Linked DNA regions of Ovis aries. The protein of the gene in region 5 binds, or shares a complex with, the protein of the main gene of each other region. Links are inferred from orthologs where the notes say so. Each region holds a gene or a part of one and is shown on either strand. Other genes may lie near its edges.

Region 1 (3,500 bases), on a different chromosome or scaffold from region 5:
TCCTTAACCTGGGCTGTAATTGTTTATAGAGAGGGTCACTGTGACCAGAGCTGACAGTGTACCACCACTAGCTGAGCTTTCTTTCTCCAGGTTTGGCCTGGCTCTGACAGGGGATGCAAGGGGGGATGCCACCAATTTACATTGTTTCTCACTGGCGTTTACATGGTCCAAGCCAGCACAACAGGAGAGGATGCTGTGAGTGATTTGTCACTGAGATGACCAGAGCTCGGTGAGATTAACTGATGAAAGCGTCCCAGAAGGCACCTGTGAGCCAGGTGCTGGAAAGAGAAATGAAATAGCTTAGCTGAAGTAGTAAAAGAAAGCCCTGAGATCATAAATAACAGGGCTGCTGGCAGAACCAATTAGTTAGAAGCTTAAAAAAAAAAAAACTAAAAAAAATCATAAATGGAGAGGAAAGAAAGGTATCTGGGGAAGGAAAAACTGTAGCAAACAAGGCAGTGCCCAGCCCTGTCTCTTGGGTCTGGTGCCTTGGCCAAGTTCCAGCTGCCAGTCCCTTCATCTTTTTGCTTGAGGGCTTTCTGTGCAGCCCACAGAAGTACTGGGGGACTCATGTACTCCCCTTATACAGTGCATTCCTCAGCACCTGCCAGGAGTTAGTGGGTGAACTGCCTCAGCCCTCTTGGGTGGGATAATTCCAAGTTGTTTGTTTTATACTGTTCTCCAGAGCTTCTCCTCACTTGGAATTGAGTTCTTGGCTGCCTTCTCTTCCCTATGTCACTTCCCCACTTCTCTACTGATAATTCCTGGGATCAACTCCCAAATAAACTACTTGCACTTGAATCCTTGTCTCTGGACTTCCTTCTCATGGAACTCACTTAAGACTGCCCACCTATGAGCACATTGGACCTCACCCTGCAGACTGCTTCTCTCACCTGCCTCATTCTGGGAAGTTCTGGGCAGCTCCTGCCCTACCTTTGTCCACCTAGTTGTTGGGTAGAGTGATAGAAGATAGTCTTAAGATCATGGGGCAAGGTGGAAAGAACCAGGATAACCCCCTCCCCCTCAACCTCTGTGGCCCTGTCTGGTCCTTTAGGCACTTTTGGGGAATGTGACTCAGAGGTCGATGTGCTCCACTGGTCCAGGTACAACTGCTTCCTGCTCTATCAGATGGGGACCTTCTCAGCCTTCCTGGAGCTACTCCACATGGAAATCGAGTGAGAAGCCTTCGGGGAGGGCTGGCCACCCCTTTCCTTGAAGGTTGCCCCATGTCCTCAGCTGGTTCCCTCACTGTAGAGCCTTTTTTCACATTTCAGTCCAGAGCCCACTGATAGTTCCCCTCCACCAGCCCTGCGCTCTGATAGTCTGTCCTCCTCCCTGAGGTTGGGCTCAGCAGCAGCTTCTACCCCATGTACAGCTTCAGCGCTGGGCTTCAGGGGCCTGTCCTGTGTTGCTTTTTCATTCAGACACCTCAGCTCAGCCTCCCTCTGGAATCCATGAAGAAAACTGTTCTCCCTGAGAACATGACATAGAGGGATGGGACCAGTTCCCATGGCTGTGCCCAGTTCTTTCCCCCATGGTTATAGCTTCAAAGGTGGCCTTATCTACTGCTCCCGCTCTAGTGACCCCCTCATGTTGACTCCCTGGTGGCTCAGACAGTTAAAAAAAAAAAATCCACCTACAATGCAGGAGACCCAGGTTAGATCCTTGGGTAAGGAAGATCCCCTGAAAAAGAAATGGCAACCCACTCCAGTATTCTTGCCTGGGAAATCTCATGGACAGAGGAGTCTGGTGGTCTACAGTCCATTGGGTCGCAGAGTCAGACATGACTGAGCCACTAAGACTTCATATTGTCTCACCCTATCACTCAGATGTTTTAGATGGTGTTAATTCTGTTTATTATTCACCAAGCATTGTTTTGTGTATAGCACAGTGCTAGACACGGTGGGGATTTTAAGACAAGTGAATATCATAGACCCTACCCTTTCTTGTCTTCACTGTAGATAAGGATTTGCTGAGATAGCAGGAAGAATTCTATGGGCTCCTCTACCTTAAACCAATTTCTTTAGCTACATGGACAGGGAATGGCAGGTACTCATGTTTGTGCATGTGGTAAGAGTGGAATACAGGGAGTAAAGAGGCCTAATGAGTTCCTGTTTTCTCCCTCGTCCCTGTGGCAGCAACAGCCAGGCCTGTAGTAGTGCTCTTCGGAAGCCAGCCATCTCCATTGCTGACAGCACAGAACTCAGGTGAGTAGGGCTGCCCACGGGATTGGAACAGGGGTCATTAGCAATGAGTAACCTTTGCCCAGATTTCAGATGCTCCCAGACTGCTAGACGTTCCTAATTCTGCTGGACTGGGCCCCCACAGAAACCACGCCTGAGGTCTCAGACAACAGATTGGTAACTGCCATGGGAACCTCTTGTGACCCTTCTGTAACCTCAGGGTGCTGCTGAATGTCCTGTACCTAATGGTGGAAAATATCCGCCTGGAGCGAGAGACAGACTCCTGTGGGTGGAGGACAGCCCGGGAGACCTTCCGCACCGAATTGAGTAAGAAGTGGCATGCAAGGAGCCTAGGGCGGACGGGAAGCATAGCATCTGCTCAAGAGGGACAGACAAGTTTTCTTTTGTCGTCGTCTTCTTTTAAGAATTAACATCCCCTCTTTGAGGACAGAGATTCTATGTGGCAGGCATGACGGCCTGGCATGAATGCCCCTCTCTGAGTGGAGCTAGGCCCACTCATATATCTTCTCTGTATTTTGGTTTTCTTTATTCCTATAAGTGGGAAGTCATCCCTCTCCCCTTCCATCACAAATCCCACATGAAAAAATGAGGTGCCTTACCTTGAAAATATAAGTTGGTGTTGCCCTCAGTCAGGGATGAGATATGAAGGCCTTTGAGATTTTTAAAAATACATTTGTTGATGTGGGAAAGTGAATTGTGACCTACAAAATGTTTGAGTTCCTCAGCCAGAAAGCATCTTTATTACTGTTAACTTCTAGTTTGACATCCACCCCCAGACATTTTACCTCCATGACCTCTCTTATCCTGCCCTTGGTGTGGCTGCGGGGGGTGGGGTGGGGGGGTTCCCCAAAGAGGCTCTCTAAGCCTCCTTCTAAGAACCAAGTCCTCAAATTCTTTGCAAGGAGGTGAGTGCCTTCCTCAGTGTGTCCAGAAGCAGAGTTACAGGAACTGGGTTTCAGCGGCTTCATCTTCATTTTCTCGCTTGCCTCTCTCCATACCTCCCAGGCTTCTCCACGCACAATCAGGAGCCTTTTGCCCTTCTGCTTTTCTCTATGGTCACCAAGTTCTGCAGTGGCCTGGCTCCCCACTTCCCCATAAAGAAGGTCCTGCTTCTGCTCTGGAAAGTAGTCATGGTGAGTGGCTGATTCTCTCCCTCTCCCGTCTCATCAGATAGGCAGTGCCTTCTGCCACCACAGTTTTTTCTGGTCTGATTCCAGGAGGCTGGAGCTAAGCAGAATAACAGGGCAGCTGTTAGCCAGTGGACAGGCAATAGGGCTGTCCTGGAGAAATCAGAGG
Region 2 (3,500 bases), on a different chromosome or scaffold from region 5:
CAAGGCCAGCACGCACCCCACGACTGCTTGTTCCCCCAGGAGACTGGTGGCAGGCGAGCCTCCGGCGCCACCTGGCAGGGAGGGCTGCCCTGGGCCCCGCGAGGCGCCAGGAGGGCAGCAGGGGGAGCAGGCGCGCTCTGTGCAGGCAAGGCTGGCGCTGCCCCGCCCTCAACCACCTGCCCTCCTCTTCCTCCTCCTGGGCCGGGCCTCCCGTCAGGCTGGGTGATGTGAGGGGTCTAGGCACAGAAGCCTCTCTGGTGCCCCCGGGCCCACACTTCTGAAAAGTGGACAGCAAGCCCCTCTAATTTATCCCAAGAAGTGTACGGTGCTCATGCGCCGAGTGGCTGAGAATAAAAGGCTTCTTCATGCTTGGTCCCACGTGCTGCCTTGCCCCGCCAGCTCTCCGGCCAGCGGCCGCTCGTGCCCACCTTGGGTGAGGAGGCCTTGGAGCCTGAGCACCCCGCCCGCCACCAGCACATCTCAGTTCAGGTCTTTATTGAAAGTGGCAGGAGCCTCTCAAGATGCTGTGAAAACTAACACCTTAATCTCAGAACACCTAGGGAAGCAAGGAGGTTTGATTTTCTTAAAAAAACAACAATCTGGCCAACACGAGTCCTTATGAGAAGACACAGTGCCTGCTCCAGCAGCAGAGGCGAACCTACGGCCGCCAAGGGTGGGCGGGCCAGGTGGGAGGTGGCAGGTCTGCCCCGCGCGAGTCCCTGCCCCTCCGCCTGGCAGCGAGCGGAGCCCCAGGGGCCAGCCCGGCCTCGGGGCCTCAAGGAGACCAAGCCCGCCGCCTCCGCCGCCTCCGCCGCCTTGGCCTAGCCGGGAGGGGGCGTGGGAGGGCACGGCCCTCTGCGGGGCGGGGGCACGGCCCATGGGGTGAGGCTAGGATGGCACAGGGCCCTGGTCAGCACAGCCCCGACCACACGGCTCCAGGTGGAGACTCTCCTCCCGGGTGCAGACAGGGCTTCAGCGGGTTGAGGTCAGGTGGTTTCTGCTGTGGGAAAACCTGCAGACCAGAGGCCAGGTCACTGCTCCGCCCTGGGCGCGGTCCAGGCCGGGGGACACAGGACCCGCAGAGCCAAGCCCCGCCCGGTGAGGAGGACCCACAGCAGCCCGCCGCCCCCAGGCCCTCACCTCTGCACCCGCTCCACCAGGTGGGCCATCAGCTTGTCCGAGATGCCTGGGCAGGACTCCTCGGCCAGGCTGAAGGCGTTCTCCAGCTCCTCCAGCGCCCCCACGCCCCCGCCGCTGCGCTTGTGCTTCTCCTTAAGCTGCACGGACACCCCCAGGCACCTGACTGGGGGCCAAGGGGGCGCCTCCCCGCCCCACCCGACCTGTGACGCGCAGCAGGAGGCAGCGCTGCCCCACTGTCCCCCCGAGCGCCGAGGAGGGGCTCCCAGGACGGGCGGGGCCTCCCAGCCTGCCCTGGCCCCCCCTCCTCCAACCACGAGCCTTCTCCCAACCCCAGTCGCAGAAGCCCGCAGCCTAGATGTGCGTGAGTGGCCCGGCCAGCCCCGCCAACCTGGCCACTGGGACTAGGGGCCCACTCACACCCCGTGGCTGTGGAGGCCCCACGAGGAAGCAGCCTGGCCGGGGGGCTGGAGACGGGTCAGCCTGCTCGCCCAGCACACAGAACAAAGGGGCAAAGGGCACACACCTCTCTGGACACCCACCCGGCAGCCTGACCTCAGGCCAGCCCACAGAACAGGAACCCGAAGGGGGCCCAGCCAGCCCGGCTGTGGCCACGCCTCCCACCCACCTCACACCCCAAAGGTGCCAGCCCCAGAGCGCTGCTGCATGGCCCCAGGAGCCCCCGTGCCCATGGACAGCCCGCCTCCACCCGCTCCCCTCCCCACCTGCCCTCTTCCCCTCCCGGGCACCGCGGGCCCAGGGTGGGAGCCTGCCCACCCCCACCTCCCTTGGCGCGGCTCCGCTGCCTCCTCTCAACATGCACCCCTGCTCCCGGGCTCCAGGGCCAGCGTCACCCTGGGTGTGAACCTGGCCACAGCCCACTGCTGGTGACTCACCCCTGGGGATGCTGCTGACTGCCCTTGAGCAAGTGACACAGACGCTGGGCCACGTGGCCAATGGGCAGCGGCCCTTAAGGGCTCCCTGTCCAGGGCCTGACACCCAAGACAGAAATCTCCCAGGCTCTCCCTAGACGAAGGATCACCCCGTGTCTGTGGTTCTAGGTGACAGGTCCCAGGATAGCAGCTCATGTTCAAAGCCCCCGGGGCCCCAGAAGACCCCGGCAGGCTCGGGATCTTGAGGGTCACCTGAGGCCGGCTTATCCCGGCCATCTCTGGTCCTTCCACTCAAAACGCCGGGTCCAAGGGGCCAACCTCACGAGCCCCGAGGGACCCAGACACCCTGTGCCGCACCAGCTTGGCCCTCACCTCTCCAAAGACGGGCCGGACCAGCGTGGACAGGCACTGTGACCTCGGCTGCCTCTTGACGGGCTCTGCCGACTACAAACGCAGAGCATGCGGAGGTGAGCAGGGCAGAGATGGCGGGGCGTGGGCAACTGCAAGCCACCCCCCAAGTCTGGTCTCCTAAGAGCCACCCTGGGGGAGCGGGCGTGCCCAGCAGGTGCCCCCACAGCCCGCTCCCTACGGCGCGCCCGGGGCCAGGCCGACCTTCTGGGGGCCATGCAGGGCCGTCCCCTTGTGCAGCTTGCCGTGCGGGCTCGGCCGGATGGTAGGGGGGAACGTCCAGATGGGCCCCTGCTCTCCATCCTCGGGGTCTCCGTCTCTGAAGGGGACAGTGGGAGGTCACACGGGGCTGGGGGTCAGGAAGGCCCTGAGGTGCACTGGTTCACAGCCCCAAAGGCCGACCCCTGCCCTGGAGAGCCCGCCTCAGCCCCACGGGAAGAGCAGGCCCTACATGTCGGAGTCCTCGGAGCTGGACTCCTCGCCATGGCCCTCCGACCTCCAGCGCTTGTAGCGGTCGATGAGCTCCGTGAGGAAAGAGGTCTTCTTAGTATAGCGCGTGATGAACTTGTGCTTCAGGAGCTCCTTGGCGGTGGGCCGCTGCCGGGGACGCACAGGGGTCACCAGGCGCCGGGCAGCTGAGCCTAGGTGACCCCAGGTGGCAGGGGCGCCTAGGGGGGCTGGGTGGCTCCACACTGTCTTCCCCAGGGGAAGGGCCTCCCTCCAGACCCTCCTGGCCTGGGCTGGGGGCACAGAGGAGCCCGCCCTGGCACAGCGGAGGGGCCTCTGGCCCTGTCACCTCTGAGCTCCCACTACAGACAGCCAGCACGCCACTCCATACACGCACATGCGCGTGCACACACCCCCCTCAACTGTCCTCTGGAGCCCAGTGCCAGGGGCCCCAACTACACTCAGCCATGCAGGCCCCCTCACCACTCACGAGCTGGGGGCAGGAGGCGCTTACAAATCGGGGGTCCTTGTTGAGGCAGGCCTCCACAAACTCCTTGAAGGGCTTGCTGTGGTGGCCCTCGAGCGTGGGCGGGCTGTTCTTGGGGATCAGGAACA
Region 3 (3,500 bases), on a different chromosome or scaffold from region 5:
AGCACAAACCCAAACAAGGAGTTACAGACACCGGGCTCAGGACCACACCCCTCCAGCTGGGCACGAGGCTGCATCTGGAAAGCTCAGAGCACCCGCCCCTGACATCATCCAGTGTTTATGAGACAAGTGCTACAACCACAGAGGTCTCTGGGCCCTGCCAGGAGAGCCCTGATTCACACAGTTCACCCGTAACTGATTTCTCGAGGGCAGAACCCCCTCCCTTCCCCAGTTCTGCAGCCAGCCCCGGCCCAAGGGCACTGGGCACAGACGCCTCTCACCTCTGCAGCCGCTGCACCAGCTGGGCCACCATGGTGTCCGAGATGCCGGGGCAGGCCTCCTCCGCCAGGTAGATGGCCCCGCGCAGTTCCTCGATGGAGCCCAGGTTTCCGCCGCACGCCTGGCTCTTCTCCTTCAGCTGCGAACACAAGACGCGGGGCCAGCGTGACTCCCCCGAGGATGAGAAACCACGGGCATCTGTGATATGATGTGTGGCCCATGCCTGCTCCGGCCATGGGGCCCCGGCAGCCTCAGCCCGGACCCCTCCCTTCTGGAGGCTGAGAGCTCCGGGCAGGCCCCAGTCTCTGCCCTCCCCAGGGGAGGGGGGCTTCTGTGCACCTCTTCATCCACTCCCTCTGCTTCCTTCTTCCATTTCAACCACCAGCAAAGCCGTCCCATGCCTACTCGGCTCTGGTCTGCAGCCGCAGCTGCAGCACAGGCTGGAAACTCGGAGCTCCCGGGGTTACCAGGCAGATGGCTAAGGCCTTGGGGTGCTGCCAGAACACTCGACTTCATGGAACCAGTGAAAAGTGAGTGGAAGCCGCTCAGTCATATCTGACTCTTCGCGACCCCATGGAAAACAGAGTCCATGGGATTCTCCGGGCCAGAATACTGGAGTGGGCAGCCTTTCCCTTCTCCAGGGGACCCTCCCGACCCAGAGATCACACCCAGATCTCCCGCACTGCAGGCAGATTCTTTACCAGCTGAGCCACCAGGAAGCCCATGGAACTGGGTGGCAGCCCTAAATCCTGGGGAGCCGGTGTCCCCTCAGCACCTCTGCCAGCCAGGAACTCCCCAAGGGGGATTCAAGGCCAAGCAGAGCCCAGGGATGAGCCTGTGGGTCCCTCCCACCCAGGATACCCCAGCCAGGACCGAGGAGCCCCGGCTAGAGTCTCCCTGGAGAGCTCTGATCCCGACCTGAACAGAAGGGGCTGTGTGGCTCACTCGGAATTACCTTAAAGGCGGCGTGAGCCAGGAGAACCCACAGGGTAGTGTCAGAGGAGACTATTTCCAACTCATCTCCTTGTCGGTACGAACCCGATGAAGAACAACATTCACCCTAAGACCCACTCTCGAAACACCTCTGAATGCTGTATGCACGCACCCATCTACAGGGAGCGGGGTCCCCCGAGAGGGCACCGGGATGCAGTGGCTGCAATCAGGGGCCCTGCGGGGTGAGGCCCCTATTGTGGGGGCTCCCCAGGAAACCTAAGAACCCCAGGCAATCTGATATCCCCTTAAAGTAAACATCTACTTTTCACATTGCCATCATTAGAAGGACTGATGTTGAAGCTGAAACTCCAATACTTTGGCTACCTGATGCAAAGAGCTGACTCACTGGAAAAGACCCTGATGCTAGGAAAGATTGAGGGCAGGAGGAGAAGGGGATGACAGAGGATGAGATGGTTGGATGGCATCACTGACTCAATGGACATGGGTTTGGGTGGACTCTGGGAGTTGGTGATGAACAGAGAGGCCTAGCGTGCTGTGGTTCATGGGGTCATAAAGAGTCAGACACGACTGAGCAACTGAACTGAACTGAACTGAACCCAAGTCTGGCAGAAGCAGAGGCGCCAGGTTGCACCCAACCAGGTTCTATAGAAAGCAGCACAACTGAAGTTCAAGCGGTCCTGGTCCATGTGTGGACTGGGGCCAGGCTGCTAAGTCCCTGTGAACGCTGCTGGCAGCCCCATGGCGACAGCTCCCAGGACAACGGGCTGGACAGAAGACGGCCCTGGGAAAGCAGGAGGCCCTCCTGGAAGGCAACCTGGCCCAGCCGGCCTCCAGGAGCACAGCCCACTGCGCCGGCAGCTCCGACCTCCCCAATTCCACAGGCAGCCCTGCCAGAGACATGAACGCCTGCGCCCCCTTCTTCCCCTCTCACCTGGCCCCCAACTGTCCACTGGGCATCTTACCTCTGCAAAGAGCGGAGAAATAATTGTAGATAAACACTGAGAGAAAGGCCTCTTTGGGATGTCTTTCATCTTGGGAGGAAAGAAAACGTAATGAGAAATGTTCTAACATCCATACTTGTCGGGGTTCACTGGACTCTGAGACACGGCCGCAGCGGCAGCTGCCTAGGGCTGCCTCACTGTGTTTTGCTTGACTACGGGGGCCACAGATATCATCCCTCGTGGAAAGGCATGGCGCACCGGGGAGCGGCGTCCTGTGTGGACGCGGGCAGGGCCAAAACTGCACCACTGGGCACACGTGGAGAGGGCCTAAAGACAGCGCTCACGCCAGGGCTGGCTGCCACAAGGGGCTGCCACAGGACAGCGCTGCCTTTTTCCTCTTCTGCAGCCTCCACCTGAACACGTAATGATGCCTGCTTCTCAGAGCGGGACTCTAGGGTCGCCAGGGGACAGCCACTGGTCCGCTCTGCCGAGGAGAAACTATGCCTCTGTGCTTCAAAACGATCCCTCAAAATATACAGTTTTTCATAAATGCCAACAGGCACAAAACCAAGTCATCGAAAATTACATTTGTCAGTCGCTCGGTCGTGTCCGACTCTTTGCGACAGTGGCCTGTGGACGACAGTAGCCCGCAGGCTCCTCTCTGTCCACGGGACTCTCCAGGCAAGAATACTGGAGTGGGTTGCCGTGCCCTCCTCCAGGGGATCTTCCCGACCCAGGGAATGAACCTGGGTCTCCCACGTGGCAGGCGGATTCTTTAACACCTAAGCCACCAGGGAAGTACCAAAAGCGATGTGTTTAAGATTCCTTAAAACTCAATCCTCAAATCGCGGTGCCTTGATGAGGAACGCCATTGTGCGCCAGAGGCAGAGTGTCGTCAAAAGCTCATAAGCTTGGGCATTTCCCAGCCACCCTTCCCCACCCCCTACAACCCAGTGTCAGAAACGCTGAGCTCACGGTGCGGCCACAGAGAGCAGCAGGAGCACTGCGAACCAGGCCAGCACCCAGACTCGCGGCCCAGCCTCGCCGGGTAGTCAGACAGAACAGAATCCCTTAATCTGCGGCTTCCTGACAGCAAAATTCCAACACAGGCGGCCCACAAGAACAGCAGGCTTCATGCCAAAGCGGCTCCGAAACGCCGCCAGTCCTGATGGCGAGGGCTAGTCTCTCCGCACGCACAGACTCACCTTGTTTCTTTCCAGATCTGATGGCTGGAGAGCTCCGTTCTCCAGACTCTTTGGATCCTTCTCCCGAATCGTGAAGATCCAGTCCCCCGAGTCGCTGCCTCCAGAAGCCTGGCCGTCTGTGTCC
Region 4 (3,500 bases), on a different chromosome or scaffold from region 5:
GAAATTGATAATGAATATCTATATGAGTATTAACTAATACAGTTTATCCCAGCAGAACATAAAAGGATAAAAAGACAGCATTAACTTTTGTGCAGGCCAAGAGCCTAATGGGTTATAAACACACCCTTCTGGCCTAGAGATAGAAAAGCAAATAAACAAAAAAACCCTTCCCTCTTATAAGCCCTGAAAATCAAAGATCTAACTAATACTGCCTTCCTCTGAAAAATATCAATATGGGGATATATTTTTAAATTTTAAAATAATTTAAACTCTAAGCTAGATTTTTCTAATTATTTATTGTTTATATTTCAATAGATACAAATCTTGACTCTAACTCTGGAACCCAAGAACTCACCAAAGAGTTTTCTGTGATGCAGAAATACCTCCATCTGCTGGAATTTTAGGTGTCTGTTAATTCTATAACCCTGGAAACTAAAAATCCAACTTTTTTGGTGGTGGGGTTAGATATTATTCTATTTAATTACATTTCAACAAGTATTTATCGTGTGCTGAAGATGTGCCATGCCCTGTGCTATGTGATGTGAAAACATGACAGGTTGAACTAAACTCCCTGATATCCAGAAGCTCACAATCTAGACGGAGGGAGAGTTGTGTAAATAACCACCATAACTCAATGGAACAAGTGACATACTTACAATACATATGCCATCAATTCTGAGGTTGAGATAGACTGGGCCATTGAGAGTAATGTGTGAAAGTCCAAGAAGAAAGCTCTTTCCTGACAAAGGTTATGTGTCAAGGCTCAGCTGCCTTTCTGCTCCTCCATCAACCCAAAAGTTCAGGTGTGGAAAAATGGTACAGCTGAGTACTGGATGCATTCAGGACACAGCTGCTAAATCTAAATCTATTTTGGCCCTACAAATGGAGCTAGATTCTGCCTGAAGGCCGAAGGCTGCCAAATCCTAATTTAAGACACTGCCTTTCAAAAAACAGAATTAAAAAAAGAAAGAAATACTCATAATGAAAGTACCTCATGATCCAGTGCACACATTACCTTTAAATATGATCCATAGTATTTCGTTACGTATGAGCTGTCACACTGACTCAAAACCGTTATTTCTTGCTGAATGTCTTCAATTTCATCTTCGGCTTCCTCGAGGTCTATGATTTTAATAGCAACCACTTGCTGGCTACGGTTATCAATTCCTTTGAAAACTTCTCCAAAGGAGCCTTTTCCAATGCGTTCTAATTTCGTGAAGAGCTCTTCTGGATCGGCTATATTATTCTGAGGGGGCAGGGAGAGAAGAAAGGGAAGAACACAAACATTTTGTATCAAAGTTTTAAATGAAGGAAAATAAATCATGTAAGACAATATCACATTTACCTAAAAGAAAGCATACAAATTCCCTTGACTCTCCACACGTGCTTTGTTAGAACAACTGTAACCCAAATGGGTAGTCCATATTCTACTGGATCACCCACATTAAATGGGCTTAGCTGATCCTGCTATCAGAAACGATCTCATACAGCAAATGTTGTCTCTGGTGCATGCCAAAGGGCCAGACTCTTTTTAGAATAAAGCAGTTGACTATATACAATTTACACATTAGTACAATGGTAGTGATAGTGAGAGAATACCTAACCTACTGTAGGTAGGGGCGTCATTAAAATTCTTACATTCCACCAGCAAAATATTACCTTTAAACTCTCCGACTTGGACAACCCAATCACAGCACCTGTACTTGAAAACCACCATGTAAACAACACACAACACAAAAGACCCAAGAATCTACAAGTCTTTTTTTCCTTCTTCTTTATTTGGGATCCTATCTGTATGTGTGGCTCAGATGGTAAAGAATCTGCCTGCCATGCAGGAGACCTGGGTTTAATTCCTGGTTCGGGAAGATCCCCTGGAGAATGGAATGGCTACCTACTTCAGTATTCTTGCCTGCAGCATCCCAGGGACAGAGAAGCCTGGTGGGCTATAGTCCATGGGGTCATACAGAGTAGGCTATATGACTGAGCATCTAACACTTTCAACTTTCATTTGTATGTAATGCTCTCATCAATGGCTGAAAATAAAATTCCAGAATAAGTCAATATTTTTCTACAGAAAAATCTGAATCAAGCATAACTTTTCAGGTTAACAAATGTATTGGCAAGACTTAGATTTTATAACTTCACTGTCCTTCCCTGACTCAGAAATATCCTTTATTTAATAGTGCACAATTTTTATTTCAAATTTGACTCCCATAGGATAACCCTTAACCTTACTTAAATTCATATTGCTGAATATATACTGCTGATCAAGTAGAAAAAAGGATTTCCAAACCTTATTTCCAAACCAAAAGTCATGTTATTAATTAATTTTACTTTTTCATGGAAGGGCATTTTATTTTAAATATAATAGTAGTGTGTACATGTCAATCTAATTTACACTTAACTGCCTTATTAGTCTACAACTAAAACTTTACTTTGAATTCCTTCAAAATATAGAAGAATGTTATATAGTTCTAACTTGTCTATATTTAATTTGTTAATTGCACCTAGATTATCTGTTCATTTATTACAATTTAACCTGGTCATCAATTTCAGGAGGCAAATTATAGTTATTAGCATGTTCCTCTAATATCTTTTTTATTAGACAAATAGATCATTAACATTAATTTTCTCTCAAGTTCATTGTACCATCATCACCAAACAGACACAGTAAACTGCCCGCTTTTGAGTAACTTAAAAACTTATGACTGATTTTAAAGAATTTCACCAATTTTTCTCTTTTCGACCTGCCTAAAAGACAGTTTACACATGACCTGCTTAATTTACAAGCTTACCCATTCTCCTTGATTGGACTTTTTCCATTTTTAAAAGACAATTTTCCATGTATGCCATAGTCTCTTTGGTATGGCAAGCTACTTGTTATCTCCACCCACCTCCAGTACTCACATGGGACAAATACATCTTCAGCTGCCCATATGGGCTTTAAAAATAGTTTAGACTTCTTTAAATTGCAAACGTTTCTTTAATGCCAACATTTTGTTATAAAATACCTTTTACAAAACTTGAGTACCATCACTATTGATTAACTTGGTGCTTAATTTCTTACCAAGACATTGTGATTACTATCACATAATAGCTAACCCACAAATTATTCTTCCTACTTTTGGTAATGGTTCCTTTCTTTCTAGTAGCTTGTGGCAAAAATACTCACCAAACAGCTCAGTGATAGGTTCATCACCTTATAGTTCCCTAAATTCAGTGAATTTGGAAAAATAAAAAGAGCAAATCTTTCAGGTTTCCTGATGTAACTACAAAATACTCTAAAAGTTATAAATATACCATTGATTAAAAAGTAGACAATACGGACTTTCTGATAACACATTCTGGACCAGGAGTATATTAACTGTATAATGAGATTTTTTTTGTTCTTGGAAGAAACAAAGATTAAATCCTAATCTTCCTAATTCATGTTTTAAAAGGATTTGACTGAAACAACCACCCCGAGGGAGAACACAGCTGTTCTCGCTTTCTATAATAAA
Region 5 (4,270 bases):
AACTACCAAAAAATCCATTAAGGGGACACAAACTAAATGAGCTGTGGTGCAGACACCGGCGGGGTGCAGTTCCCAAAAATAATAAGCGCTCTGTGTGCTCATATGAAAAAAACGCAAAGATATATAAGTAGGTGAAAATAAGTCACAAAATGATGCATGTAATAGCATGTAAAAGGCGGGAGGAGAAGGGGACAACGACAGAGGACGAGATGGCTGGATGGCATCACCGACTTGAGGGACATGAGTCTGAGTAAACTCCGGGAGCTGGTGATGGGCAGGGAAGCCTGGCGTGCTGCAGTCCATGGGGTCACAAAGAGTCAGACACGACTGAGCGACTGAACTGAACTGAATAGGATTTCATATATTACACACACAGAGCTGAATTACTTTTATAGCAATAATAGGGTTTCGGGGAGTGGCTCTTTCCCTTCTCACTCACTTGGTGTGTGTACATCTACACACACAGGCACTTCTGAGATCCTTGAAATTTACTAATGTAACAGAACGATAACAACAAAGGGGTACAAAGTAAACGACGCTGGAGCCTGGACGCATCGTTCCTCTTGCTGGTCTCAAAGGTGAGGCAGCGGCGTGGTGGGTGCTGCAGGGTACCCTCGTCTCCTATGGCCGCCTGGATGACCCTGGGAAGGTCACTGAGCTTCCCTGAAACAAGCCTGTCATCTGTCCTGGGCGTCAGACAGGTATGGGCTTGAAAGTCCACAGACCACCCCTGCCACCCACAGGCTATGATCCTTGATATACGACTGACCTTCTCAAAGTCTCCACTTCCTCTTTTATTTTTGAAAAGGAAGGGAAGGGGAATAACATCCCTCACCCTCCCAGAATGTTGCAAGGACTAAGTGATACCATGTATCTGCTGTGTCTAACACAGTGTCTCACCCATAATACAAACTCAATAAACAGCAGCTGCTATTATAATTGCTAAATAAGGGCAACGTCCTTGGCCCTGTCTTCACAATGGGGGTATTGAGAAGATCTAATAAGACGTACAGATGGGATATCATAGCAAGGGGTACTTAGGTAAGGCTTTCTCTCCCACTCTAACCCCAAGCCTCAGCCACCACACAGTGAAGATCCCTTTCAGGGTGGGAGAAGTGTGGGATGCTCTCTTTAATCATCCTAGGGAGAAAATTCTAATCTGGTTATTTACTTGGGTCCCCACCTCAACCAGATACGAAACAGCAACTGAAAAGAGGAAAGACCAGATGCTAGAAGGAGATACTGACTTTGCTAACAATGCCCCAACCCTCCAAATCCTCGCCACTGGGATACCCAGGCTCCTCAGGACACTCTGCTAATCGACCCACAGTTCTCAAGGTCACAAAACCCAGCCCAGCTCCTCAGCCTCTTCCAAACATCTCAGGACACCTTCCTCCCTGAATCTACTCCACAAACCATAGGATCTTTTCCCAGAAACTTCCACAAACACCTCCCACCCCAGGATCCTTCTGAAATGTTTCCTCTGGCTGTCTTCCTGCTCTCCAAAAAGGCTCCCCTTGCCATGCCCCAGGTTCCCCGATTCCTCTTCACTGTCTCCATCCTACCGCCCCTCTCCACAGCTGGCCAAGTTTGACCCTCCCATACTCCAGTTCGGGGGTTCTCCATCTGACATCCCACACACCTCACCTCCCATCTCACGGCGGGGGCCCCCACATCCCCAAAGAGTTTCGGCTCTCCGTTCTCTTCCAACACAGGCTCCTGGCTCACGTCCTGGCTCCATCCGTGCTTCCAACCCTGGGACCCCTCCCCTGCACGCGGAAGCCAGGCCTGCCAGGGCTCCCCAAAGTTTCCTCCTCAGAGGAGAGGACACACACCTTCACGCCCCCCACCTCGCGCCCGGAGACCTTGCTCCGCATCCTTGGAGTCCTCAACACCACCGTCATTCAGTCCCTCCAGTCCAAACGCTCCGAAACACACACGCGTCCCGGGCTCCCTGACTTCCTCTCTCGACTCACGCGGGCTCCCCGCCCCGCTCTCGCCCCCGGCTGATCGCAGTCACCCCCGACGCCCCCTCTCCCCCGCCCGGGGTCCATCGGGCTCCGCCTCCGGCGCGCACCTGGTCGGGGGCGGAATGGGGAGTCCCTCGTGCGGCACCCTGGGAGCTGCCGGCTCACTCGTACACAAGACCCCTCATCCCCTCCCAACGCTTCGCGGAGCTCTCCCGGGGCGCCTCGGGGCTCCGCGGCCCCTCTCCCAGGAACCTTTCCGCCGGCCGGCTCGCTCCCACTTCCAGCAGGCCCGGGGGCCCCGCGCCGCCTCCTCCCGGCGACCGCGCGGGCCGCCCTCCCGCCGCCGGCCGCCCCTCGGCCGGCCCCTCACTCCGGCTCCCGGCCGGTCGCCGTCCCCGCCCGCCCCCCCGGCCGTCCCGGCGGCCATTGCTCCAAGATGGCGGCGGCGGCGGCGGCGGGTGAGGCTGGGCCGGGCCGGGCGGGCGGGGGCCGGGGGTCCCGGGGCGGTGCTCACCTGCAGCTCGGCGCGCTCGGCCTCCCAGCGGGCCTTCTCCGCTTCGAAGCGCGCCCACTCGTGCTGGATAAAGTGTAGGATCCCGGGCAGGCTCAGGGGCTCCGGTCCCGCTGCGGGACCCGGGCTGCCTCCGCCGCCGCCGCCTCCCTTGGCAGCCGGGCCGGGCCCCGGGGCGGGGGCGGAGACCAGGGCCGCCCCCGTCGGGCCGGGGCCCGCGCCGGAGCCCAGCGGGCGGCAGGAGGAGGCGGCGGCGGCGACGGCGGCGGCCGCTCGCTCCTCCATCATGGAGGCCCCGGGGCCGGCCCGCGCGCCCGCTGTGCCTCGCGCGCCTGCGCGGCCGCGCCAGCCCTCGCGCGCGCGCTCGGCGGGGGCCGGGGGGGCGGGTGACGGGAACGAAGTCGGGCGCGCGCCTCGCCCACCCGGGTCGACCCCGAAGGCGCGCGCGTGGGAGGGGGCGCGGGGCGGAAAGGGGGCGCGCGCCCGGAGGAGGGCAAACGCGACCCAGGCTCCGCGCGAGGGTCGCCCATGGGAAACGCGGTACTTGGGGGGGGGGACCGCTTTCTACCCCCCTCCTCCCGTTTCATCCCAAAGAAAGACTCTAGCCCTCTCCAGACCCAAATAGCACTCTCCTCCACAATCACTGTCACTCTTTGAGGGAAAGAACGACCACCAGGGGTGGTTTCAGCAATGGCCCCATCCTGATTTCTGGCCCAGGTCGGTTGTCATGGTAACTCCTCCCAATCTGGAACACCCTTAGCCTCCTCTCCCTTCCACCTTTGTGGTTATGGAGCTCCAACTCTCTCCTGGCCCTGCACCAGGAAGAGGTTGCTAAGGTAACCCAAGTCTCTGGTGGTCCTTATGCCCCTACCCACATCGGTTACTATGGCAACCTCACCCAGCCCTCAGGGAGAAAGGACCCCAGCCCCAAGGACAGTGCTAAGGGAAGCAGCTCTTTCCCAGCCCCTCCCCCCAGCCACACAGTTGGCATTACCATGGTAACCATCTCCCCTTTCCCATCGTGGGAGGTCTGTGGACCAAACCAACCAGGTGTTTTTATTTAGAGGAGATGCTCTGCTGAGAAGTAGTTGCTATGGTTACAAGGCCTGGACCATCCCCAGAGAGGTGAGAAACAAGCAAAGCCAAGTCCTGGTTACTATGGTAATGGGGGCAGTCCCCCTTCCAGTGACCCTAAGACCCACCAAGGTAAAGGACATTTTAAGATTGTCTCTCAGGATGGAGTGGATCTAGGGAAGGGGTTGTCATGGTAATACCTTCTGTCACTTCTAGTCTTACCTTTCTGGACACATTTATGAAAGAAGAGGTGGTTATACATTGCTATGACATCCTTCCCATCTCACTTTTGTAGGTGAGATGAAATTGTGTTCTATTGTGTGAAATTGACTGATTGAGGGTCTCCTGGTTTCTCCTTCCTCAGCGATGCAGCTGAGCTGGGCTGGAACTGCTCCCCTGAAGCTCCCTTATCCTGCAACCTAAAAGGTAAGAAATCTCTCAGTGTTACCAGCAATCACGGGAAAACTGCCCTTGTCCCCAAAGGTTTCTCCACATGTCAGATGTTTTCTTTATCCATTACATTACCATTCTAGAGCTGCAGCCAGGTGAAGCCTGGCCTGAAGTGAGCATAGATCCCCTTACACTGTTTCGTGGGCAATGGTAGGACAGTCTCAGCTTAACAGTCCTCTCCTCACCTGACCACTTTTTCTCTCTCACAGCCCCCTTTTGTTTTCCTGCTCTATCTGTAAGTTGTTTGCAGGGATTTTGTCTGTCT
Region 6 (4,051 bases), on a different chromosome or scaffold from region 5:
GTTACAGCACATCGCTGCCTTCACTGTTCTGACGTTTTCTCACAATGTTTTGTCTTCTGGGTTAGTTCGGCTCTCCCTACCAAGCCCTCTCAGAGCCCCTTGCACTACTCCTTCATGGCACTTATCATAACTCATAATTATACATGCGCCTGTGCGTCTGTTTAGTGTCCATTCTTCTCACCCATGATTTCACAATGCTCAGCACAGTACTTGGCATGGGTGACTGAATGAAGAGCATATACTCAAATAACAACTTGTTGGATAAATGAACACTAAAGCTTCCATGTGTTCCATGCAATGAAATGATCATTCCACATGGTACTAAGGCTTTAGAAGCCTCGTTTCTTTCTGGCTAGTGGGCTATCAGGGAGAAGGCCATGGCACCCCACTCTAGTACTCCTGCCTAGAAAATCCCATGGACAGAGGAGCCTGGAAGGCTGCAGTCCATGGGATCGCTGAGGTCAGACACGACTGAGCGACTTCACTTTCACTTTTCACTTTCATGCATTGGAGAAGGAAATGGCAACCCACTCCAGTGTTCTTGCCTGGAGAATCCCAGGGACGGGGGAGCCTGGGCTTCCGTCTATGGGGTCACACAGAGTCGGACACGACTGAAGTGACTTAGCAAGTGGGCTATCAACAGCTCAGTACAAAATAAGTATTGACACCCTCAGTCTTCCTGCCTTTCTCTCAAATTTCAGCAAGAACTGACAGAGAAGGCAGCAGCTGAACAGAAATGGTTTCCCTCCCACACATAGGAGAGATTATGGCAAAGAATCTTTTTACTGCTGGAAATAAGTGAGTACTGAGAACACACCATCTGGGAAGCCTTGTTCTGGGAAAAGAACAGAGGTGAAGAAAAAGGTAGTCCTCAGCTTAATTACTATCTACTTGGGAAGACAATGACCACCCACAAAATGACATAACATACCCTCAAACATGAGTAACATAAATAACTCTACTTCTTATTCAGAGGCAACAGGCTGCACAGTTTCATAAGTTCCTGAGCTTCAGTTTCTTCATTTATGTAATGAGGATGACAAAAATCTATCTTGAAGGTTTTTTAAGGACTAATTAAAACGATGCCGCACAGTGGGCTCTCGTCAAATACCTGCCTCCCTGTTCTGCAGGCACGCCTCTGGCTCCCAGCCTACTGATTTCAGCTTTGACTCAAAAGAGAGCTGTATCAGTATTTCTAAGAAAATAGATTCTGACAGGTCTCTCAGCTTAAATGTGTTCACTGAATGACCTTCCATGTGTTGAATCTATATAGAAATTAAAGGGTAGAAAGTACATTTAATAGAAACACTTAGGAAAATTGTTAACTACTGAACAACTACGATGCCTCTGATGATGAAACTGGATTCATCCCTACCACTTTTAAAATCCTCCATACTTGAAAAATTATTAAGCAGTCACCACTGATGTGCAATCAGCCCATCATGCAAGGGCTACTAAAAGGTCGGTTTCATTGCTTTTTCAAATAATTCACTTCAAGCTCAAAGTGCATCTGACTGGAACTTGTCAAATTTTGATGTTTGACCAGAGGTTTGTTCTTGCCAACAAAACCAAGAGCTTGAGAGGTACTGATTTCAGGTGTCTAAAGATAGCATCATCACTCAGGTATGACCTGATACATTATATCTGGACAAGAAAAAATGCCCTCTCATTAATAAGCATCTGACTGTTAATCAGCCTCAGGGTTGTCTCAGGTGAAAGAAATTTCCTAGTAAGTGCTCTGGGAACATGCTGATTAAGAAGCCCTAAAACGCTGCTACGTGTGTGTCTTCATTCATGAATTCTACAATGGAATGCAGTGGGAGTAATTCTTCAACTCGGGGTGAGGTGACTAGTCAGCTCCAGACTACGGTGTCTCCGGAATGGGAGGAACAGCCCACTAAACAAGAGAAGAGAGATGTTGAGCCTCAACGCCTGTTTAATTTATTTCTGATCTTTAACAGTTGAGCATCGGGTGGACTGGGCACACCAACCACCGGGCACTGTCTAACCGTGGCCTGAATCTGCAGTGGCTAAGCTCAGAGCAGAACAAGACTGCTCCCCTTTCCAACCATCGCGACCTACAGGCGCGTAGTATTGATACTATTAGTGCTAATTAATTAGCTCAGTCCTTCTCGGAGGTGCCTTCCCAACCCTCGCCAGTCCTTTCCCAGCCCACACATGCCCGCCACCGTGCGCCGCGGAACTCACAGGACCAGAAGCTGGAGATGATTAGGGGGTCTGGGGTGTAGCCGCCCCGCCCTCTAGAGCGCACGCAGGTCACTGACTCTTCACCCGAGAAATGGGGCACGGGGCGGACTTCCCAGGGGCTGGAGCCCGGAGACCGCGCCCACAGCCCGGACCTCAGAAAAGCCAATACGGGCTCCGGGAGGTTCTCCCGGTCGGCAGAGCTCGGGTCGGGGACCCCAGCTTCACGCCTCCGACTCCCGGGGATGTCAGCCTTGCTTCCTGCTCCTTTCGCTGTAAATGACAACTCCCCTGCCGAACCCTCCAGGAAACCCAGCCTGGACCCGAAAGTGGCCCAGAAATGGGGCCGGGGTCCACCGCCGCCGCCCGCCTGGTGCTAGCCTCGCCCCCCGAAGCTCCTGACCTCCGAGTCTTTTCGCTGGTTGCGGTTGAACTCTCGGGCTTTGCCACCAGGCAGGAGACCTCCGGCGGTCCGCGGTGCCCCAGGTGGAGGCTGCGCGGTTGCAGGCGGCGGAGGTGGCGGCGGCTGAGGCTGCTTGTTGTTCATGATCAGCGGGCCGGGAGTGCCGGCTACCGGCTCCATCTTGGCGGCTCCACACCCCCGGCTCAATTCACTGACTATGGCTGTGATGCAACTCTCGCGTGATTTCGTCCCGGAACGCGCCCTGGTCGCCATATTAAGTGTGGCGGCACATGCCAGCGCCATCTTGACTGTCCAACACCTCGCGAGATTTTCTCTGTTTGTGAAATCTTACCCTTCTAGTTTGTGTTTCGGTTCCAGTTTAGAGATCGCAGTTTTATCTGCAAAACCTCCCTTAGCCCCTCAGCCAGTTTAGTGGAACCCCCCTCTTTCCTTTAACATCGCTTTGCTCTTGTTACTTTCACAGATCTGTCCAAAGCTTGCGGGATATTGTAGAGAACAAAATGGACACGATCCCAGCCTTCATGGAGATTACGTTCACGTGGGGGAGACGTGGGAAAGGAATGAGTAAATCAATGAAACAATTACAGTTACGACATTCTTTTAATCATTCATTCAACAAACATTTAATGAATGTCTCTTAGACTAAAGGCAGTGCAAGAGAATGGGGAACAAAATCAAGTTCCTACACTAATGAAAAAAGTGAAATGATCTGTAACATAGAGCCTGTGGGTGAGCCAGACAATGCGCTCACAAATAAGTGCTGAGAAGAAACGAAAGAAACTGTAAGGCATTGGAAGGTGACAGTGATCGAGGTACAGCTGGGCTATGTTAGGTAGGCTGCTTAGGGAAGGAGGGGCTGAGAGTGATTTTGAATGAGTTCTGAAAGAAGTGAGGGAGAGCCATGCCAATATCCATGGAGGTAACATAGAGGGACCAGCTAACTGCAGAGCCTCCTAGGTGGCTTGGCAGGAACTGAGTGAGCCAGGAGAAGAACAGTAGGAGATGAGGGCCGTGTAAATGCAGGGGCCAGATAAATATAGGGCCTAGAAAAGCATAGAAAGTACTCTGGATTTTATTTTAAGTAAAATGGAAAACCATCAGAAAGTGCTGACCTGCTGCTGCTTTTGGAGAAAGCATTGGGGTGTTGCAAGAGTAGGTGAGGGTGGACAGGTTCAGAGACTATATAGATGGAAATGATGGTGTCTTACGCCAGGTTGGAACATTGGGTTGATGTGGTATTTCTGTATTGTGTAGGTAGATTTGCTGAAAGACTGGAATCCTATCAGCAGGATAGGAAGGAATAAAGGATGAGTCCTAAATTTTTGGCTTGAGCAGCTGGGTGGGTGGTTGTATTGCTTATTAAAATAGAGAAGTCAGAGGAAAATAGGTTTGGAGGAAGATCAAGATGTCTGTTTTGGACAT

The links.
Region 1: STRN4 (region 5) and STRIP2 share a complex: the UniProt entries of both Homo sapiens proteins name them as parts of the core of STRIPAK complex. The link is inferred for Ovis aries from reciprocal best matches to the Homo sapiens genes STRN4 and STRIP2.
Region 2: STRN4 (region 5) and STK25 share a complex: the UniProt entries of both Homo sapiens proteins name them as parts of the core of STRIPAK complex. The link is inferred for Ovis aries from reciprocal best matches to the Homo sapiens genes STRN4 and STK25.
Region 3: STRN4 (region 5) and STK24 share a complex: the UniProt entries of both Homo sapiens proteins name them as parts of the core of STRIPAK complex. The link is inferred for Ovis aries from reciprocal best matches to the Homo sapiens genes STRN4 and STK24.
Region 4: STRN4 (region 5) and STK26 share a complex: the UniProt entries of both Homo sapiens proteins name them as parts of the core of STRIPAK complex. The link is inferred for Ovis aries from reciprocal best matches to the Homo sapiens genes STRN4 and STK26.
Region 6: STRN4 (region 5) and STRIP1 share a complex: the UniProt entries of both Homo sapiens proteins name them as parts of the core of STRIPAK complex. The link is inferred for Ovis aries from reciprocal best matches to the Homo sapiens genes STRN4 and STRIP1.

Annotation. Positions count from the first base shown.
Region 1 is NC_056057.1:95,040,512-95,044,011, forward strand, and holds part of STRIP2 (striatin-interacting protein 2), read left to right. Parts: intron 1-1,054; coding exon 1,055-1,175; intron 1,176-2,138; coding exon 2,139-2,202; coding exon of another isoform or gene 2,203-2,207; intron 2,208-2,398; coding exon 2,399-2,510; intron 2,511-3,209; coding exon 3,210-3,337; intron 3,338-3,500. UniProt on the Homo sapiens protein: Plays a role in the regulation of cell morphology and cytoskeletal organization. Required in the control of cell shape. Calmodulin-binding scaffolding protein which is the center of the striatin-interacting phosphatase and kinase (STRIPAK) complexes.
Region 2 is NC_056054.1:373,827-377,326, reverse strand, and holds the end of STK25 (serine/threonine-protein kinase 25), read right to left. Parts: coding exon 3,400-3,500; intron 3,036-3,399; coding exon 2,890-3,035; intron 2,758-2,889; coding exon 2,643-2,757; intron 2,475-2,642; coding exon 2,403-2,474; intron 1,278-2,402; coding exon 1,141-1,277; intron 1,013-1,140; coding exon 973-1,012; 3' UTR 481-972; downstream 1-480. UniProt on the Homo sapiens protein: Oxidant stress-activated serine/threonine kinase that may play a role in the response to environmental stress.
Region 3 is NC_056063.1:74,803,233-74,806,732, forward strand, and holds part of STK24 (serine/threonine-protein kinase 24), read right to left. Parts: coding exon 3,377-3,500; intron 2,262-3,376; coding exon 2,193-2,261; intron 416-2,192; coding exon 279-415; intron 1-278. UniProt on the Homo sapiens protein: Serine/threonine-protein kinase that acts on both serine and threonine residues and promotes apoptosis in response to stress stimuli and caspase activation.
Region 4 is NC_056080.1:102,807,049-102,810,548, forward strand, and holds part of STK26 (serine/threonine-protein kinase 26), read right to left. Parts: intron 1,247-3,500; coding exon 1,016-1,246; intron 1-1,015. UniProt on the Homo sapiens protein: Serine/threonine-protein kinase that acts as a mediator of cell growth. Modulates apoptosis. In association with STK24 negatively regulates Golgi reorientation in polarized cell migration upon RHO activation.
Region 5 is NC_056067.1:53,621,638-53,625,907, forward strand, and holds the start of STRN4 (striatin-4), read right to left. Parts: upstream 2,801-4,270; 5' UTR 2,770-2,800; coding exon 2,485-2,769; intron 2,429-2,484; exon of another isoform or gene 2,384-2,428; intron 2,339-2,383; exon of another isoform or gene 2,078-2,338; intron 1,988-2,077; exon of another isoform or gene 1-1,987. UniProt on the Homo sapiens protein: Calmodulin-binding scaffolding protein which is the center of the striatin-interacting phosphatase and kinase (STRIPAK) complexes.
Region 6 is NC_056054.1:87,345,647-87,349,697, reverse strand, and holds the start of STRIP1 (striatin-interacting protein 1), read right to left. Parts: upstream 2,801-4,051; 5' UTR 2,789-2,800; coding exon 2,609-2,788; intron 1-2,608. UniProt on the Homo sapiens protein: Plays a role in the regulation of cell morphology and cytoskeletal organization. Required in the cortical actin filament dynamics and cell shape. Part of the striatin-interacting phosphatase and kinase (STRIPAK) complexes.